Linked DNA regions of Callithrix jacchus. The protein of the gene in region 2 interacts with the protein of the main gene of each other region in a biochemical or structural test. Links are inferred from orthologs where the notes say so. Each region holds a gene or a part of one and is shown on either strand. Other genes may lie near its edges.

What was found.
Region 1: the proteins of HSP90AA1 (region 2) and STIP1 form a complex in vitro, tested with the Homo sapiens proteins (9 studies listed by BioGRID). The link is inferred for Callithrix jacchus from reciprocal best matches to the Homo sapiens genes HSP90AA1 and STIP1.

What each region holds. Positions count from the first base shown.
Region 1 is NC_133511.1:121,241,647-121,245,551, forward strand, and holds the start of STIP1 (stress-induced-phosphoprotein 1), read left to right. Parts: upstream 1-1,136; 5' UTR 1,137-1,194; coding exon 1,195-1,203; intron 1,204-3,905. UniProt on the Homo sapiens protein: Acts as a co-chaperone for HSP90AA1. Mediates the association of the molecular chaperones HSPA8/HSC70 and HSP90.
Region 2 is NC_133509.1:137,004,333-137,008,237, reverse strand, and holds the start of HSP90AA1 (heat shock protein HSP 90-alpha), read left to right. Parts: upstream 1-1,649; 5' UTR 1,650-1,711; intron 1,712-2,230; coding exon 2,231-2,392; intron 2,393-2,480; coding exon 2,481-2,847; intron 2,848-3,129; coding exon 3,130-3,263; intron 3,264-3,857; coding exon 3,858-3,905. UniProt on the Homo sapiens protein: Molecular chaperone that promotes the maturation, structural maintenance and proper regulation of specific target proteins involved for instance in cell cycle control and signal transduction.

The DNA.
Region 1 (3,905 bases), on a different chromosome or scaffold from region 2:
CAGCATTTTCACTCCGCAGGTGTCTCTTCCACACTTTGAGGTGCTTGCCCGCCTCTGACTTCTGGGGCTGGGATTTAAGGCCCTACCAGGCCATAACTCGCCCGCCGATAGGCGGTCAACTCCCTGATTAAGCTTTTCCTCTCCTTCACCCCTTTACATCGGACTCACGAGGGCTGGGGGCAGCTCCCTTTCGTTAAGTGCTTCCTGCGTGCTCAACAGCGCATGAATTCCCCTCGGCCCTCCAGGATGAAAGGACCCGCGAGCGCGGGCTCAGAGAGGGTATGCAGTTCCACTGAGGACGCCCAGCGGGACAGCCGGGCCCGCAGCCGTGAGATCCCCGGCCTGTCCAGCCCAAGCCCCCGGCGCCCTCGCGGCATTTCTAGAACATTCAGAACCTAACAGCCAGGATGCAGAAGGGCCGGGCCCGAGGCCAGAGCGCTGGACAGCACGGGCAGCTGGCGGTCCAGGGCCAGGCAGCGCCCACCGGCAGGGACCCCCATCGCGATACGCGGGCGAAGGGATGGGATCCTGTGCCGTTGGCGATCCCGGGGACCGCCTGGGACTCGCGGCCCACGGGAGCGAGAGGAAAGGGCCGCCGGAGCCACAGTGTAGCCTGCCTGCGGCCGGGGCTGCCATACTCTACGGGCAGGGCAAAACCCGGCCTTTTGAAGGACAGCAGCTTAAGCCAATTAGCGCAAAGGGTTGGCAACCCTCTAACCCAATTGGAATTTCTCTCATTTTAAAGGCGGTTCCTACATGGAGTCCGGCAGCCCAATGGGAGAGGTGGAAATTTCCAGAACGAACAGGACCAATGGGCGCGGCCAGCGGGGCCACGATTGGCAAAGCAAAAAACCAATCCGTGTCGCAGAAGTCCGCTCCTCCCTCCATTCGTGGAGCCTGAGATGGGTGGGGTTTATGGAGGAGAGACCAATCCTGAGGTGCGGGGGAGGAAGGGTTGCGGGAATTACTCCCTGCTGTCCAATGAAAGGGAAGCAGAGATGATGGGCTGAACCTCAAGCCAATAATAAAGCGTCACAGAGAGCCCCCTAGAAGAACTCGACCAGTGAGCAGGAGAGGAAGGGGCGGGAGACGGGGGTCCCGGCAGCTTCTAGTAGGTTCCAGAAGGCGGCGCGTGCGGTTGGTAACGCGGAGCGGACGGATTCGATTCAACGAGATTCCGGGCTGCGCTGCGCTATGGAGCAGGTGAAGGGGGAGGGGCGGGCTAAGGCTCGGGGACCGGCGGAGGCCAGGCCGCGGTAGGGGGGCGGGGCGGGTGACGGATCGAGGCGACCGAAGAGGGGTGCTGGGGCCGGACAGAGCGGCGGCGGGGAGGCGAGGGTGTGAGGGCCGCTGCCGGCGGGCGGGAGCGGGGTCTATAGCGAGGCCCGGTCGCGGGGATCGTCCATCACCTCTTGGTTGGGCAAGGAGGGCCCGAAGGAGGCCACAGCTTGTGAGTCCGGCCGGTGGCGGGAAGAAGGGGCCGCCGCCGGGCCCTGAAGGTGTCCTGAGGGGCGGCTGGAAGCCGAGCGGGGGAGGGTGTGGGCCACACGGGGCAGGGTGGAGGTGGGCGAGGGGCCGGGGTCCGCACCCGCGTTGTCGCCCTTCGGGAGATCTGTGACGGCCGACGGAGAAACCTCTCGGACTGGCCACGAGGAACTTGGACGGATCCAGGGAGCGGGGACGGGACTACACTGGGAGTCGCCGAGGGTCGTAGCAGCCTGGTGTACCCAGTTGGGGCACATCCTGCTCCTCTGCATCTGAGAAGGTCGGGGAGCGAGAGTGTTGAGCGGGGGTTCGAGGAGCCGCAGGCTGAGTGCCTGATGCGGGGAAGGGGAGGGTGCCGCAAAAGTCCTTGGAACGAATTCCATCTCTGCCAGTGTTTTACAAACGTATTGCGGCCCCTCCCCCTCTTCTTGTATGCTTGTGTGTGATTGTCGAGTGACCGAGGACTGACACTTCCGAAAGGTGGGCTTTTGACTACGCGGGGAGGAATTCGTGGTTGTAGAATTTACGTTACAGAGAACAGCAGCTGGAAGTTATGGGCCTCCATTGAGCATTTGGGGGGCCGAGTTTGAAGCGGCTACTGCTTGCTTTCAGTGACTTGGTTATGTCCTCAGTAGCTTGTGGTTGTGAAAGGCCTGGAGGTTTTGTTCCATTGGAAGCTGTCATTGAGCTGTAATGATTCATCGGAAGAAAAAGGACAAAACAGCTCACTTTTTTTGGTGTGAGACAGAGCTGAGCCTTTTGGTGTCCTGTAGCAGTTGGTTCTTTGGGCAAAACTCGAGCTTCCTTGCTGTGTTAAAGAAAAGACTACAAATGAAGTTAATAAACTTTTTGTTGCCCATTTAATAGTAAAGTTGTATCTAGGGTTAAATGGGCTGTAGTATAGGGGAGAAGGTTTCTGGACTAAGGCATTGTTCTTTTAAGAAAGTATCACAGCTGGGCGTGGTGGATCACGCCTGTAATCCAGCACTTTGGGAGGCTAAACCCAATAGATCACCTGAGGTCAGGAGACCATCCTGGCTAACATGGCGAAACCCTGTCTCTACTAAAAATACCAAAAAAAAAATTGGCGTGGTGGCGCATGCCTGTAATCCCAGCTACTCGAGAGGCTGAGGCAGGAGAATCCCTGGAACCAGGGAGTCGGAGGTTGCAGTGAGCCGAGATCGTGCCACTGCACTCCAGCCTGGCAACAAAGTGAGACTCAGTCTCAAAAAGAAAAAAGAAAGGATCTCTTTCTAATGTTACCAAATTTTAACTTTATTTTTTAGACACAGGGTGTGGTTCTGTGGCCCAGGTTGAAGTCCACTGGCAGGATCATATAGCTCACTGCAGCCTTAAATTCTTGGCCTCAAGTGGTCCTCCTGCCTCAGCCTCCTGAGTAGCTGGGCACACCACCATCACAACTGTAATTTCTAAATTTTTTGTAGAGGTGGGGGTTTCGCTATGTTTGCCAGGCTGTTCTTGAATTTCTGGGCTCAGGGAATCCTCCAGCCTTGGCCTCTCACAGCGTTAGCACAAGGATTACAGGTGTGAGCCACGTTGCTTGGACTTAAAATGTTCGTTTGTTTTTAAATCACTCATAGAAGTGTATGTACAGGTAGATAGTCAACGAATGTTTTGCTGAACTCAGGCCTGCAAACTGATGTGGTTTCTGTACAGGCGACCTGCCATTTAGCCCTAGGTGTGTTTGGGCCCACTGTCTTGAAACCATTCCTGAAAATAAACATGCAACTTCTCTACCTTTTGTTTTCATTTTCAGCTGTCAAGTTTGTATTTCAGTTTAGAAAATACTCAAGTTGGGCCAGCCTGATGGCTCACACCTGTAATCCCAGCACTTTGGGAGGCTGAGTTAAGCAGATCTCGAGTTCAGGAGTTCGAGATCAAGCTGGCCAACATAGTGAAACCCCATCTCTACTTAAAAAAAAAAAAAAAAAAGTTAGCCTGGCATGGTGGTACACCATGAGACCTGTAGTCTCAGCTACTTGGGAGGCTGAGGCAGGAGAATTGCTTGAACCTGGCAGGTGGAGGTTAGAGTGAGCTGAGATTGCACCACTGCACTCCAGCCTGGGTGACAGAGCGAGACTCTGTCTCAAAAAAAAAAAAAAAACAACTCAGGTTGGACAGATTTTGAGTGTTCAAGCGTGTATTTTTTTAGTAGGGGCCTTTCAAATAAATCCCACAATGTTACACTTCTTACATTTAACCCAGCACAGGCATACGGCTGCGAAATACATTACTCTTTTAAAATGCTGGTCATGACCTACGAAATTGATTTCCTGACCCACTGCCGATCAGTGCTCTGTTTGAAAAATGCTTTTCTAAAGGATGGGCAGGAACTTCACCAGCTGCCTCTTGACACCACTTGAGTTTTGTTAACTCCTTGTCTTCTGGCCTCCATCTTG
Region 2 (3,905 bases):
GGAGGAAACAGGTGGAGGAGGCACTCGCCAGGGAGGACCTTGGACCCCTCCTGCTTCCGCATTCCTCCCGCCAGCCCTGGCTGCAGCTGTAGGCAAAGCCTGGGCCGGGGGCGCGCCCCCAGGCTCCGGAACAGCTACCACGGGACTCCGCACGCGCCCCCAACGCTGGGGCCCACGCCACGTGGCTGCTAGTTTCCATCCCCTTCCCCCGCTTTGCAATGCCAGGCCAGAAGCTTTCTGTTGATTTCACACACTCTTGGGGGGTCTCACGCCGCAGTCCGAAAACCCCTGCTCCTGAGCAAGTTGGGTTTCCCTAGAGACCAAGAAGTGGAAGTAGTTCCGTCCTTTGTCTACACGGCAAGGAGCTTCCAGATTATTCCCAGGGTAGCAGGCGGCCCCATCATGGGAGGCGCCAGAGACAAAGAGGAGGAGGACATGGGCCAGGCAGGGGAACCAGGGTGATGACCTGAGCCAGGTCTAAGGAACCACCACGCCTCCAAGGTTCTCACAGCTGACGCTGGCCAAAATATCGTAAAATTCTCATGTCCAAACTGGCTCTTCCAGCCTGGGTAACATGGTGAAACCCCGTGTCTACAAATAAATACAAAAAATAGCCGGGCGTCGCGTCGGCGCCTGTGGTCCCAGCTACTCGGGAGGTTGAGGCAGGAGAATCACCTGAGCCCGGGAGGTCGAAGTTGCGAGTGAGCCGAGGTTGCGCCATGGCACCCCAGCCGGGGCGACAGAGGGAGAGCCTGTCCCAAAAATACAAACAAAAAACCCAAAACCTGGCTTTTAGGGCAAGTTAATCACCCAAGAATTCTTAGATACTTCACTTGGAGACCTCAAATAAATCGATCGGCAAAACGATGCGCTTTTTAAAATCATGCCTGGTGCAGCTGGGTGAGCATGAACTTGTTCCCCAAATTCAGGGACCCTGACGTGTAAAGGACCCGGCTTTGGGAACCCAAAGGTAGGGGGCGCTGCCGAGCACCCCCGAGCCGGACAGCGTCCTCAGTGAGCAGCAGCAGGTGGCCCACGGCCCGCCCGCCCCCAGGGAGCAGAGCCCCGCGATCCCAGCGCCGCCAGGCTCTGCGGCAGCAGGACCACGACTCCGGCAGTCTACCCGGCGCGTGAGACCCGGGGCGCTCCCGTCCACGCACGACCCTCCGTTCAGGCGCGCCTCCCGCCCAGGCCCCGCGCTCCGTTCAGCCGGGTTGTCAAGAGGCGGGGCGCTCTCACGGCACCCGCACATGGGTGACCGACTACACCTCACTTTCGCGCATTTCACAAAGGCCCCCACGTCCGGGCGTGCCCGGTGGGTGGGGGTGCAGGGCGGAGAGCGCGGGCGGCCGGGAAAGGCGCCCGGACCTTCCCGAGAATTCCGAGCTGCGCAGGCGCCTTGAGGCTGGCGCGGGGGCGTGCAGGGGGCGCGCAGCGGCTGTTGAGGGAGGGTTGCCCGGGCCGGGCCACGCGCGGGGCCTGCGCGCGCCAGGGGGAGGGGCGGGCCGCGGCGAGGGCGCAGGCGCAGGCGCGCGGCCGCGGCGGCAGTTGGGGAGGGTTCTTCCGGAAGGTTCGGGAGGCTTCTGGAAAAAGCGCCGCGCGCTGGGCGGGCCCGTCGCTATATAAGGCAGGCGCGGGGGCGGCGCGCCAGTTGCTTCGGCGTCCTGGTGCTTCAGCTGCGCTGCGGAGCCCGTGCGGTCCTTCAGCCAAGGTAAGGGGCGGTTGGGGGAGGCTGGTGGAGGGGGATTGGGGGCCGGAGGCGGCGGGGGCTGGGCCGGGGCCCTGAATCCGCCGGGGCCGCGCTCCCCACTCCGGAGGCCTCCGCACCCGCTTCAGGAATGGGCCGGGCGGCCGCGGGCTCCCCGAGGCTCTTCAGCCGCAGCGGGACAGAGGGCCGGGCTGCGGGAGAACCCCCGACCAGCCTGGCTGGGGCGAGGGGCCGAGGAGGCCGCGGTGCGGGCGGATGCGGGAGGGTGCGGGCTGGCCGGCGGGGAGCGCGGCGGGGACTGGGCCCGGGCCCGCAGCCGCCTCCCGGAAGCGCGCGCACGCTCCTGGCGGTTACCGCGCTGCGGAATGAGGTCATCCTTTGTCAGCCGCCCTTCTATTTTCGGTTCACTTAAAACTCCGCAAATCTCCTGTTGGGCTTTAAAAACGTGGAGGGCGCGACGGCATTTCGTGTAGCCCCTGTAGACATCCTGCAGGGTGTGAGACCGCCTCGCTGTCCTTCCAGATGCCCGAGGAAACCCAGACCCAAGACCAGCCGATGGAGGAGGAGGAGGTGGAGACGTTCGCCTTTCAGGCAGAAATTGCCCAGTTGATGTCCCTGATCATCAATACTTTCTATTCCAACAAAGAGATCTTTCTGAGAGAGCTCATTTCAAATTCCTCGGATGTAAGTCGCTTGTTAACTCGGAGTAGGGTTTTGGTTTCAGTGGGGTTGGGTGGGGGCTGCATGCTTAATTTGTAATTTTTGTTGATAGGCATTGGACAAAATCCGGTATGAGAGCTTGACGGATCCCAGTAAATTGGACTCTGGGAAAGAGCTGCATATTAACCTCATACCAAACAAACAAGATCGAACCCTCACTATTGTGGATACTGGAATTGGAATGACCAAGGCTGACTTGATCAATAACCTTGGTACTATCGCCAAGTCTGGGACCAAAGCGTTCATGGAAGCTTTGCAGGCTGGTGCAGATATCTCTATGATTGGCCAGTTTGGTGTTGGTTTTTATTCTGCGTATTTGGTTGCTGAGAAAGTAACGGTGATCACCAAACATAACGACGATGAGCAGTACGCCTGGGAGTCCTCAGCAGGGGGGTCATTCACAGTGAGGACAGACACAGGTAGGCGCCCGAGCATGCACGGGTTAGTCAGTGGCGGGAGGGTGGGATGCTGCAGCCCTTGGACCTCTGAGGCTTCCAGCAAGTTGTGTTTGCCCAACGTTGAGGAACAAGCTAGAGCACTTAATATGGCATGACTTGCTTACTACTTTGTGGCAAGGCACCTAGACCTGTTGTGGGAACCTTTTCATCTGTAGTAATGGCAAGTCTTGATAGATCTGAGTGAGGCATGGCTTGAACGCTAAGTTGATTGGATTATTGAGTCAATTTTCCCTACTTCTGCAGGTGAACCTATGGGTCGTGGAACCAAGGTTATCCTACACCTGAAGGAAGACCAAACTGAGTACTTGGAGGAACGAAGAATAAAGGAGATTGTGAAGAAACATTCTCAGTTTATTGGCTATCCCATTACTCTTTTTGTAAGTTTCTATGTAATTGCAGAGTGAATGCCATGCACAGTGGCTCACGCCTATAATCTTAGCACTTTGGGAGGCTGAGGTGGGTGGATTACGAGGTCAAGAGATCGAGACCATCCTGGTCAACTTGGTGAAACCCCGTCTCTACTAAAAATACAAAAAATTAGCTGGGCATGGTGGCGCGTGCCTGTAAGCCCAGCTACTCGGGAGGCTGAGGCAGGAGAATTGCCTGAACCAAGAAGGTGGAGGTTGTGGTGAGCCGAGATCCGCGCCATTGCACTCCAGCCTGGGTAACAAGCGAAACTCTGTCTTTAAAAAAAAAAAAAAAAAAAATTGCAGAGTGAGTTACTCTCTGTAGATGACTGGGGTGACTGAGCTACATCCTTATTCCTTAGATCTGTTGAACTTGGGTTGTTATTTATTAGTGTGGAGCCTGGGGAACCTAAGCTCTATCTACTACCTTAGTCTATAAGATACGTTGATGAGAAGCTGCCTGGCTGCTTCTGGCTTGGCTGACTAGGCTTTGGCCTTAGTTGAAAATAGTTGCTCAGTGTTACCAGTTGCAGCAGTGATGTGATTTCACGTCTTGTTTTGAAGGTGGAGAAGGAACGTGATAAAGAAGTCAGTGATGATGAGGCTGAAGAA